3 linked regions of the Macaca fascicularis genome follow. The main gene of each other region encodes a partner of the protein of the gene in region 2 in a complex. Links are inferred from orthologs where the notes say so. Each region holds a gene or a part of one and is shown on either strand. Other genes may lie near its edges. The genes, in order: LATS1, WWC1 and DDN.

The links.
Region 1: the proteins of WWC1 (region 2) and LATS1 are in contact, whole or in part, in a crystal structure (PDB 6J68), measured with the Mus musculus proteins. The link is inferred for Macaca fascicularis from reciprocal best matches to the Homo sapiens genes WWC1 and LATS1. Residues at the interface, in NP_740749.1 of Mus musculus: Asp17, Tyr23, Ile25, Asp26, His27, Arg30, Thr31, Thr32, Ser33, Trp34, Asp64, Val67, Tyr70, Ile72, Asp73, His74, Lys77, Thr78, Thr79, Gln80, Ile81; in NP_034820.1 of Mus musculus: Ala546, Glu547, Ala548, Pro549, Ser550, Tyr551, Gly553, Pro554, Pro555, Pro556, Pro557, Tyr558, Leu562, Leu563.
Region 3: the proteins of WWC1 (region 2) and DDN are in contact, whole or in part, in a crystal structure (PDB 6J69), measured with the Mus musculus proteins. The link is inferred for Macaca fascicularis from reciprocal best matches to the Homo sapiens genes WWC1 and DDN. Residues at the interface, in NP_740749.1 of Mus musculus: Glu13, Glu14, Ala15, Arg16, Asp17, Tyr23, Ile25, Asp26, His27, Arg30, Thr31, Thr32, Ser33, Trp34; in NP_001013763.1 of Mus musculus: Tyr227, Val228, Ala229, Pro230, Pro231, Ser232, Tyr233, His237, Arg238, Thr239.

The regions. Positions count from the first base shown.
Region 1 is NC_088378.1:57,699,256-57,702,900, forward strand, and holds part of LATS1 (serine/threonine-protein kinase LATS1), read right to left. Parts: intron 1,604-3,645; 5' UTR 1,602-1,603; coding exon 1,475-1,601; intron 1-1,474. UniProt on the Homo sapiens protein: Negative regulator of YAP1 in the Hippo signaling pathway that plays a pivotal role in organ size control and tumor suppression by restricting proliferation and promoting apoptosis.
Region 2 is NC_088380.1:175,154,446-175,158,090, forward strand, and holds part of WWC1 (protein KIBRA), read left to right. Parts: intron 1-707; coding exon 708-950; intron 951-3,645. UniProt on the Homo sapiens protein: Regulator of the Hippo signaling pathway, also known as the Salvador-Warts-Hippo (SWH) pathway.
Region 3 is NC_088385.1:55,812,348-55,816,422, forward strand, and holds the start of DDN (dendrin), read right to left. Parts: upstream 2,877-4,075; 5' UTR 2,789-2,876; coding exon 2,580-2,788; intron 2,192-2,579; exon of another isoform or gene 2,168-2,191; coding exon 238-2,167; 3' UTR 1-237. UniProt on the Homo sapiens protein: Promotes apoptosis of kidney glomerular podocytes. Podocytes are highly specialized cells essential to the ultrafiltration of blood, resulting in the extraction of urine and the retention of protein.

The sequences.
Region 1 (3,645 bases), on a different chromosome or scaffold from region 2:
TGGGCCCCCAACTTCTATGAGCAATAAGCTAGCTGAGAAAGATCTGTATGTTCCAAAGGGAAGGTACAACACAAACTTCGCAGGTGGCCAAGGATAATTAAAACAATGGATGAGAGAGTTCCTTCCAAATAAATCAAGGTCCAATCTCCCCTACCTCCACGGCTGGTTGCTTACACAGAATCTGACTAGGAGATTTCAGATTATAGATCAGCATTTGCTGCTTATCTTCCATTATTCTCTTTTTCTAGGAAGAGTGCTTTACTGTGGCCCTTGTGTACTGCGGTGAGTGAGTGAGGGGAAGAGAAAAGGAAGGGAGATAGAGAGAAACAGATACAGTGAGTGACAGACAGACAGAGTACGCACACACGCAGCACACAGGACACATTACTTCATCATATCTGGACCCGATTAAGAGATTACTGGGCATGTGGACCATAGGACCCAAGAATCTTGCCTCTATCACTAATCAGGGCCCAATTTGTTGGCAAAGGAATAACATAATACCATGAACATCTTTCCACAGTAATAGGTGTCATTTATTTATTTATTTATTTTGAGACGGAGTTTCGCTCTTGTCACCCAGGCTGGAGTGCAATGGTGTGATGGCTCACCGCAACCTTCGCCTCCCAGGTTCAAGCAAATCTCCTGCCTCAGCCTCCCAAGTAGCTGGGATTACAGGCATGTGCCAGTATACCCAGTTAATTTTCTATTTTTAGTAGAGACAGAGTTTCTCCATGCTGGTCAGGCTGGTCTCAGACTCCTGACTTCAGGAGACCGCCCTTGTTGGCCTCCCAAAGTGCTGGGACTACAGGTGTGAGCCACTGCGCCCAGCCACATTTTATCTTTTATTCTCTCTCTCTTTTTTTTTAATAGAGACGAGGGTCTCGCTATGTTGACGAGGCTGGTCTCAAACTCCTGGCCTCAAGTGATCCTCCCATCTCGGCGTCCCAAAGTGCTGGGATTACAGGCGTGAGCCACCATGCCCAGCCAGTGTCACGTTTGTTTGATTCTAAGCATGCTTTTCTACATTTTAATATTTCTAAAATTTAGGGCCAGGTGCAGTGGCTCATGCCTGTAATCCCAAAACTTTTGGAGGCTGAAGTGGGCGGATCTCTTGAGCCCAGGTGTTTGAGACTAGCCTGGGCAACAAAGTGAGACCCTATCTCTACAAAAAATAGAAAAAATCAGCCAAGTATGTTGGTGTGCACCTGCAGTCCCAGCTACTGGAGAGACTGAGGTGGGAGGATCAATTGAGGTGAGAGGATCAATAGAGCCCAGGAGGTCAAGGCTGTAGTGAGCCGTGATTTTTGCCACTACACTCCAGCCTGGGCTGGAGTCAGAGCAAAACTCTGTCCCAGAAAAAAATAATAATAATAAATAGAGTACATCTTAAGATCAACCCTTGGGCCCCCAACTTCTATGAGCAATAAGCTAGTTGAGAAAGATTTGTACCTTCCAAAGAGAGAATACTCACCCAACACACACTTCACAGATGGCCAGGGATGATAATTAAAACAATGGCTGAGAGTTCCTTCCAAATAAATCAAGGTCGAATCTCCCCTCCAAAGCAGAGAAGTTCTAGAGTAGCAGTCATTGCACATGCCTAACTTAACCATAAAATAAAAGCCGAAATCTTTGTTACCTCAATTGTATTATTTTCTTTTTTTGTTTTCTTGAGACAGAGTCTCGCTCTGTTGCCCAGGATGGAGTGCAATGGCACCATCTCGGCTCACTGCAACCTCTGCCTCCCAGGTTCAAGCAATTCTCCTGCCTCAGCTTCCCAAGTAGCTGGGATTACAGGCATCCACCACCACACCCGGCTAATTTTTAGTACTTTTAGTAGAGATGGGGTTTCACCATGTTGCCCAGGCTGGTCTCAAACACCTGACCTCAGGTGATTCACCTGCCTTGGCCTCCCAAAGTGCTGCGATTACAGGCATGAGCCACCATACCCGGCCAATTGTAATATTTTCATTGGCGGCACCATATATGATGCTCAAAATGTTTTTTCTTTTTTTCTGTTTTGTTTTTGTTTGTTTGTTTGTTTTTGAGAAGCAGTTTCTCTCTTGTTGTCCAGGTTGGAGTGCAATGGCGCAATCTCAGTTCACTGCAACCTCTGCCTCCCGGGTTCAAGCGATTCTCCTGCCTTAGCCTCTCAAGTAGCTGGAATTACAGGCATGTGCCATCATGTGTGGCTACTTTTTGTATTTTTAGTAGAGACAGGGTTTCATCATGTTGGCCAGGGTAGTCTTGAACTCCTGACCTCAGGTGATCCACCTGCCTCAACCTCCCAAAGTGTTGGGATTATAGGCATGAGTCTCACTCTGTTGCCCAGGCTGGAGTGTAGTGCCATATGCTGGCTCACTGCAACCTCTGCTTCCCAAGTTCAAGTGATTCTCATGCCTCAGCCTCCAGAGTAGCTGGGACTACAAGTACCCACCACCACACACAGCTAATTTTTGTATTTTTAGTAGAGACAGGGGTGCGCCATGTTGGCCAGGTTGGTCTTGAGCTCCTGACTTCATGTGATCCATCCATCTCAGCCTCCCAAAGTGCTGGGATTACAAACACGAGCTACTCGCCTGGCTATTATTACTTTTGTAAATAGAGATGGAGAGCTTGCTAGGTTGCCCAGGCTGGTGTCAAACTCCTGAATTCAAGTGTTCCTCCTGCCTCAGCTTCCCAAAATACTGGGATTACACCATGCCTGGCCCACAAAATGTTTTGAAAAGGTTCCATTGTGATATAGTATTGTGCACTCAAACTGTCATTCAATAGACAATGCAATTAAAGCCATAATTATTAAATTCAAGCAAGATCACAGAATTTTCAAAGGTAAGAGACTCAAAATCTGTCAAAACTTTTACAGTTATCTTCAGAGGAAGCTGTTTAATTAGAAGAAAAAAAAAAAACTAAGCAAAAAGGAAAGCAACATCCCAGTATTCTTCATTATACCTTAAAATTATACACACAATCATAAAGACAACATAGGTTAAGATAATTAACTAGCATTATGAAAAGCAGCCTGTTATCATGATGTTGCATTAACTACCCAAAGTAATTCAGAAGAATCCTAGATTCTGAATGTGAATAAGGCTGAGACTCAAACTTTATTGTGATGAAAATGGTATACAATTGAACGAATAAATGTATGCTACTGATTATTAATAAAATCTTTATGTTTACTTTCTGCCCGCTAAAAAATTGCTACTAAATAGACGGCTCATCTTAGAGTTAGTGGCATTTCAGAACTGAGAAAATATGATAGTTCAACCTCATTCCTTTAAATACCTTGATATTGGCCGGGAGCGGTTGCTCAAGCCTGTAATCCCAGCACTTTGGGAGGCTGAGACGGGCGGATCACGAGGTCAGGAGATCGAGACCATCCTTGCTAACACGGTGAAACCCTGTCTCTACTAAAAATACAAAAAACTAGCCGGGCGAGGTGGCGGGCGCCTGTAGTCCCAGCTAATCGGGAGGCTGAGGCAGGAGAATGGCGTAAACCCGGGAGGCGAAGCTAGCAGTGAGCTGAGATCCGGCCACCGTACTCCAGCCTGGGCGGCAGAGAGAGACTCCGTCTCAAAAAATAAATAAATAAATAAATAAATAAATACCTTGATATTGAACTTCATCATGTATATGTAC
Region 2 (3,645 bases):
AGCGAGCCAGGACTCCAACTCCAGGCCTTTGACCCCAAATCCACAGTTGTTCACACAGTGCCACTACCTCTCTCTGACTTGAGAATACGTGGTCAGTAGTTGTAGTCTTAGTGGTCCAGAACTGCCAGTGACTCAGTACTTGCTATGTGCCAGGCACCCTTCCCACTCATTCTGATGAATGAGTTTTTCTCACCTTTATAGCCTAGGGAATTGGCCCAATGTTACGTACCTAATAAGTGATCACGCCAGGTCATAACAACAGTAGCGAGGACTTACTATGTGCCAAGTACAGTGCTTTGCAGGTTACAGATTATATCATAAAACCTTCAACCAAAATGGCATGAGGAAAGGGCTTCTGTTATTCCCTTCAGAGAGCTGAGCAACTTGCCCAAGGCCACACAGCCAGTGGTAAGAGGTTAGTGCCTGGTGATGAATTCACATCTCTATTGTACCAGGAACAGGGCTAAGGACATTGCCTTGTTCATGTCTGCACCCCATCCCTGCAAAGCCTAATTCCTTGTTGGCACATGGTAGGCACCCACATGTGTTTATTTAGAAAAAAAAAATAGGTTCCTTGAGACGACATGCTGATCAAAGGAAGACAGTAACTGTCAAAGATTGCTCTGAGATGTCTGTTTCCTTGTGGCATCTCCTGTTCCCGCAGTGCCATTAGGCACACCAGTCATGCTTGCTTTCTTGGCCCCCAGGATCGCCAACCTGAAGATCCAGCTGGCCAAGCTTGACAGTGAGGCCTGGCCTGGGGTGCTGGACTCAGAGAGGGACCGGCTGATCCTCATCAACGAGAAAGAGGAGCTGCTGAAGGAGATGCGCTTCATCAGCCCCCGCAAGTGGACGCAGGGGGAGGTGGAGCAGCTGGAGATGGCCCGGAAGCGGCTGGAAAAGGACCTGCAAGCAGCCCGGGACACCCAGAGCAAGGCGCTGACGGAGAGGTGGGGCTGGGGTCCCAGGGTGTGTAGGACCCTTCTCTCACTGGCAGTCTGTCCTCAGCCCCCAGATGGCGGAAGGATGAGGGGGCTCCAGGCCCCTGGGCTCCACCCTGAGCATGCTCAGTTCAGAGATCTCTCAGATTGCTGACATAGGAAATCAGGAAAGATGATTCATCATCCAGTGCACCAGCTACCCTGGTCCTTTGCATGGTGAACCATGCTACCAAAAAGTCTGCTTAGGTGCAGGATTTCAAAAATGTATCTTCTGACTCAATTAAGCCACATAACTATATAATTTAAAGCAGTCATTTTCCATTTTTTTTGACAGTGATGCACATTTTATACTGTGACCTGACACAAGGTTCACAAAATAGTGTATGCTCTTTCTACCTGTGATGGTCCTCTGATGTTTTCTCTCTTCTACCTGTGATGGTCCTCTGATGTTTTCTCTCTTCTATTGCATTTTGTTTCATGCAGTTCATGACTCACCAAATTGATTTCACCCCATGCTAAGTAAGGGGTTGCAGTTTGCAGTTTGAAAAACACTGGTCTGGGTGGGGGTTGCAAACTGGCATGCTTATAGGAGCCAAGCAGGTCACAGAAATGCTGGAGACCCACCTGGCAGTGGTCTGTGTCAGACCAGAGTGCACAGACCCCACTGGTCTAGAGCAGGTGCTGTCTGTCTCCTGCAGCAAATGGGAGTACAGGCCTCGGGCTGCCAGAGCTGCCTGTACTTCAAACAAAAGAGTTGTTTGGATTTTTTATTTTTAAATATTGGGAACTAATCCAGAAGTTTTTTTCAAAAAATGCAAATCAGCCTCATCTATAGGCCTGATATAACCTAAAAGCCACTGGTTTATATTCTCTAATTTAGACCTTATCATAGACATTGTCTTTGTTTATTTCCTTCAGTGTTCCCACCAACCTCCACACCCACACTGCACCGAATGCAACACTGTGTTCACCATAGGCTTTACGCTCTCCAGCTTCAAGTTCATTCATTCATTCTGTTCAACAGCCAATGTTTACTCATTCATTTGAGAAACGCTTTGCTGCAAGGATTGTGTGTGCAAGGCAATTTGGGGGATTCAGAAATTAACAAGACATGGTCCCTGCCCCATGACCTTTAAATCTATTATACTTATTTTCACCATGTTTTTCGCAGGAGCCTTTATTCAGCAAGGTCCCTGCCCCTAAGGAGCTTAGAAGTGAAGCTGGTGATTTTCAAGTGTGTGTGTGTGGTGTGTGTTTGGAATATGAGCAAGGGAATTCCTTCTTCTAGTGAAATCAGAGGAAGAAGCCCGGCTTATGAAGCAAGTAAACGTGCCTAGTGCCTCAGTTGAAGCAGTCGGGAGTCCTAGAGAGGCCTGTCTGTGGTCACTCTGTCACTCCACCATGGGTCTTCCAGGGAGCCTTCGAGCTCTAAGGTGCCCAGCCTGCAGTACCATCCTAGCAATTGAGTGAGCCCCACTTGCACATGGCATGGTGCCAGGTGGATCAGGTTCACCAAGTTCTCGCCCAGCTTCCCATGGCTTCAGAGATTCTCTTGACTCGTTGATGGCGAGAATCTCTCCCCACTAGTTGCTTAGTCAGAACTGCTAGCAGTAATGTCCAAAGGGTATCCATTTCCTCTCTTCCGTTCTTCATTGGCAGCAGCAGCTGATTAGCCCTGACCCACCACCCATTGGTGGGAGAAGGAGAAGGACAGAGCTTGAATAATTGGTGTTCTGCAGTCCTTGGAAGCACCTTGCTAGAAGTCTTCTTTAGCACCACGACTCCATTATGCTTTCTCTGGGATTTTGTGCTTTGGGGATAAGGCCTGTGTCTGTAACATGCCTGTAGTGTTCGTTGAAAGAATAAATGGTTAGCTGGCCCAGGCAGATCCTTACTAGGCTTCTGTGTATATATCCTGGTCTTTATACCCATTCCCTGGGTTGCTCACTTGCTCCCAGACCCTATAACTGCCACTGGGAAGCCCTTAGCTATTCATAGTCCCCACAGCCAGCAGCTGAAGAGAACAGACTCATGGCAGCTTCACTCCTTGTTGGGGCAAAAGGAACACGCTTCTCACTTGCTGATCTTGAGCAAGTCATTGACCAATTTGGGTTTCACTTGCCTAATAGGGAAAAAACAGGATGCATTAAGTCCTCACTTAACATTTGTTAGTAGGTTCTTGGAAAACTGTGACTTTGAGCAAAACGACATACAATGAAACCAATTTTTTTCCATCAACTTTATGTTTTATTTCTATTTTTTTCGAGATGGAGTCTTGCCCTGTCACCTAGGCTGGAGTGCCGTGGCATGATCTCGGCTTACTGCAACTTCCGCCTTCTGAGTTCAAGCAATTCTTCTGCCTCAGCCTCCCGAGTAGCTGGGATTACAAGTGTGCGCCACCACACCCGGCTAATTTTTGTATTTTAGTAGAAATGGGGTTTCACCATGTTGGACAGGCTGATCTCAAACTCCTGACCTCAGGTGATCCACCTGCCTCAGCCTCCCAAAGTGCTGAGGTTACAGGCGTGACCCACTGCAGCCAGCTCCATCAGCTTTATTAAAAAATGACGTTATTTGAGAACTTGATGTGCATCATTTTGCTTAAAGTTGCAGTTAGCAAGAACCTATCTACAATGTTGAGGATTTACTGTAATTACATTAAATACATATATGGTCTGAAGGCAGTTAGACCACGCTCTTCCCT
Region 3 (4,075 bases), on a different chromosome or scaffold from region 2:
CACCCTTGTGTCCTGAACATAACAGACATTAATTAAATCTACTGCTGATTCTCACCTCTCCTGAAACAAAATCATTAATGGGCATATGCTTCCCTTCCTTTCATTTATATTTCAAGGATGGGAATAGGTATGGGTAAGGATACAAGGAAAAGAGAAGCAAAGGAAGTCTGAGGAAGAATGGGGACCAGTGGACCCAAGGATGGATGTGTTGGGGACTCAAATACAAGAAGGGGCCTCTCACTGCCTCTTCTTATTTCCCTGTTGAGTCCCCCTGATGTCCCTCACCCCGAAGAGGACCTCCTCGGTTTGGCTTATGACATCTAGGATCTCTCCGACACTGTCGCTCAGTTCCGCTGTCTTCCCATCTTCCTCCGACGAACTGTTTCCAACCCCGGGCAGGGTCCTCTCATTCCGCCAGGAGGCGCCTGGGGCTTCTGTGTCGCTTCCATCAGAGGAGCCGCTATGGACGCTAAGCTCCTCAGCTTCGTCCGTGTCCGAGTCAGGGGCGGTGTGGCGGCGGATACGGGACACGGCTTCTCGCAGGGCCCCGGCGTAGGGCCCTGGGGTCCGCGCCCAGCCCCGGCCCGCGCGCCGCTGGACCACCGCCACTTCCGAGCCCTCGGCCCTGCCCTGGGCTCCCGAAGCTCCTGGGCCTAAGGCTTGGTGCTCTGGGCTACCTGGCTGCGTGGGGGCGTCCCGCAGGTTTACTTCCGGGGCCGGGAGCCCCAAGATGCGGGAGGTGCGCTCCTCCAGTGAGGAGTCCCCCGACCTCCCGCCCTCAGCTTCGCCCCCGCGGCCCCCGCCGGGCTGGTGTAAAAGGCGACTGTTCGACAGCCGCTTTCGGCAAGGGGAAGGAAAGACCGTGGCCCCTTCACTCTCCTCCTTGCCGGGCTTCGATTGGCTGGCGGATTCCCCCACCACGCGTGTCACCCCAGAGGGCAAAAGCTGCACCTGCTGGGTTCGGGGGGTTGGAACATATTGGGATCGTATCACCACGCACGTGGCGTCAATGACAAAGACTCCTTCCCCACGGGACGGGCCCTGGGAACTGCGGGGCAAGGTGTGGGCACGGCGGGTCGCCTTCCAACCCTCCAGGGTCTCCGGTCCTGCCCCCTCTGCAAGACCCTGGGATTCTCTCCATCCGGTGCCTCCGGGAGCCCAGGGTCTGGGGAGTGTCTGGCTATGGCGGGGCGGCTGCTTTTTAGGGGAGGGAATCCAGCATTTAGGGAACCAGATCTGTTCTTTTCCTTCTTTCCCTTCCCTCGAGCCCTTGAGGTGGTGCCTGGATCTGGGAGCGGGACGCGGGGCACTGGGAGCCGCAGTTGCAGACCCCGCAGGAGTTGTCTCGGTGCCTGCGCTCCCTGTAGCTTTGGCTTGGGGATGGCTGTCGCTACCACTGTTCAAGTCAGCAGCAGCCAGCCCCAGGCTTTTCTCCACGACCCCCTTGCCGGGCTCTGGCCTTGCTCTGGCCGCTCCACAGCCTGGGGATCCCCCCAAGAGACCTTGCCCCTGTCGGAGACCCCAAGCCCCGAGGACGTCCCGGTAGATCCGAGGATCCAGCCTCTTCTTTGTGCGCCCTCCCTCTGTCCTGGCCGGAGTCGGAGGTGGGGCTGATGAAGTGGGCACCTGGGAGTGTCCGGGGCCTCTCTTAGTCCCCAAGGTCCTATGGGGGCCTTCGTAAGAAGGTGGAGCCACGTAGGGTGGCGGCCGGTCCCAGCGGCGTCGCGGGGCGGTCCCGACAGAACCTCTCAGCAGCAGGTGAGCCTCGTAGCTTGGGGGCCCCGGCCGCCGACCTCCCCAGGGCCCCGCCCACGCCGACCCTGGGTCGCTCTGCGGCTGCGCGGATGGACGGGGCGCTCGCCCCACCAGCGCCAGGCGCTCCGGCCGCAAGGTAGCAGGGAGCCCTGCCGGCTGGGCTGCCCGAGGGGCGTTGCGGGGCTCCGGGCGGGGCCGACCCGGGGGGCTTCGTCGGGCCCCACCAGCCTTCCGCCTTTTTCGCTCGGTCTCCTTGGCCTCCCGCTCCTGCGACGCCGCTTTCCTTTTCTCTTGCTCCCGAGCTCGGACCTCGGCCAGGGGCCCCGCCCGCCAGTTGGTCGCCTCCTGCAGCACCCTGGAGGCCCAGGGCCGGCGGGGCGGCGGCTGTGGGGATCCCGGGCGCGGCCCACACCTGGGACAATGAGCAGGAACCCAGGTGAGCAGTCTGTGGGGGAAGGGAGCCGAGGTCCGGGGAGCTGGGAGCAGTGGAGACCACTTGGGGCAGCCATGTGAAGGGGTGTGTGTGAGTGTGTGCGCGTGTGCACGTGCGTATATGTTAGGACTGAAGTCGAAGCGGGACTCCTCGCCATCTCTGCCTGCACACTTTAACAGCGTCTGCCCCATCTCACCTCCTGCCCTTTCTCACACCCATTCCTGTTCCCCCAAACAACCGGATGAGACAGGCCCCAGCCTTCGGGAGCGGGCAGGGGTGGGAGGCGTGGGAAAGAGAAGGGGGATCAGTAGTGCTCGCTGGTGCCTGCGGGGTGGTCCGGACCCCACTCCCCGCCCCACCACTCTCTTCCCCTCACCCCTGCTTCACTCACGTGCGGTTCTGGAACCCGCGAGCCCAGTGGCTGGCCTGGAAGTCCATGGGCTGTCGAGAAGGGGCGCGGCGACTATAATGACAGGAAATAGTCTTCACTTCTATCACCAATAGCTTGGACTTCTGCACCCAGAGGCAGCTGCCAGACTCCTCATCCTGGAGCTCCCGGGGGCTGTCAGGCCCCTCGGAGAACAGTGGGCCATCCAGCATCCTGCCCCACCCCACCCCGGCCCCCCACCCTCCCACCCGCCCCAGGAGCCCCCTCCCAGCCCAGGGAGCCGGCGCCCACTGCAGAGCCGCGGGCCCGGGGACTGGGAACTATATATACCCGGGCACACGTGTGTGTGCCTGTCTCTGTGTGTGCGCGCGCATGTGACACCGCGCGGACTGCTCCGCGCTGCTACCTCCCCCATGTGCACGGCCGCCCCCTGGGGCCCGGGATTGGACGCCCCTTCCCACTGCTGTTGTCCCCCAAGCCTGATGGGATCGCACGAGTGGGCGGGGGAGGGACTTATGATTCTTGCCAAGCTGACAGTGCCCCCTCCCCCGTCCCTGTTTCTTCAACCTTCCTGCCGTTTTAACCCTTTACTCTCCTGCTTGTCAGGTTGCCTGACCACCAGGGTTCTGCCCCTGGCTTCCTGCCTCAGATTTCAGTTTCCCCAACATAGAGTGCGTGAGAATGGAACTCAAGGTCTCTGCCTGCCACTCTGCTGGTTTCCATGGGGTTGGGGCGCAGGAGGGGCTGGCCCACGGCTGGGGGGCTATTTTTAGCGGCAGTGGCTGTTCGGGTGCAGAGATGAGATGAGTAACCAGCTTCCATGCGGTGGAGAGAGGAGGCGGTGGCTTTCACCAAGCTTTGTGCGACTCTGAGGGAGAGCTGCCTTCCCTAAGCTCAAAAAGGGTGACCCCTACACCCGTATCTCCTCGCCAGCTCAGTGCTGCAGCCTAGGACTGCTGGTACAGCAGGACACAGGCGTGTGCCTTGGCCACCCAAGCTGCCCTACCAGTCCCATTCTACATGTTTGTCCTTGGGCAGCCAGGGAGCCCTCCCACAGCAGCAGGCTTTCACCTCCAATTTAGAAGCAGGATTTGGGGGTTATATTGTTCTGTGCCCACACAGCCTGCCCAGCTTTATGGAGGACAGAGTAAGTGCTTATGCACTCTCACCCTTCCAGAGGGGGATGGAGGAGAGATGGTGTGTTTGCTTGGCAAAACTAATCCCCTAGCAACTGAAATGATAAAAGTGGCCTTTTTTTTTTTTCCAATGTAGAGCTCCCCCTCACCACCACAATTGCCTAGTTCACTCAGCCCCCACCTGAAGTGGTGCTCCAGATGCTCACCTTTGGGCTGCCTCTGTCCTGGGGGGCTGTTGCTTACATCCACATGATCCCTCCTCCTAAGCTTATACCAGGTGTCCCCTGATTCACCATGGTAATGTTAGTGGCAGCACAGCCCACGCCAACCCTTCCATGCAGAGACTTAGCAACCATGCCTGGC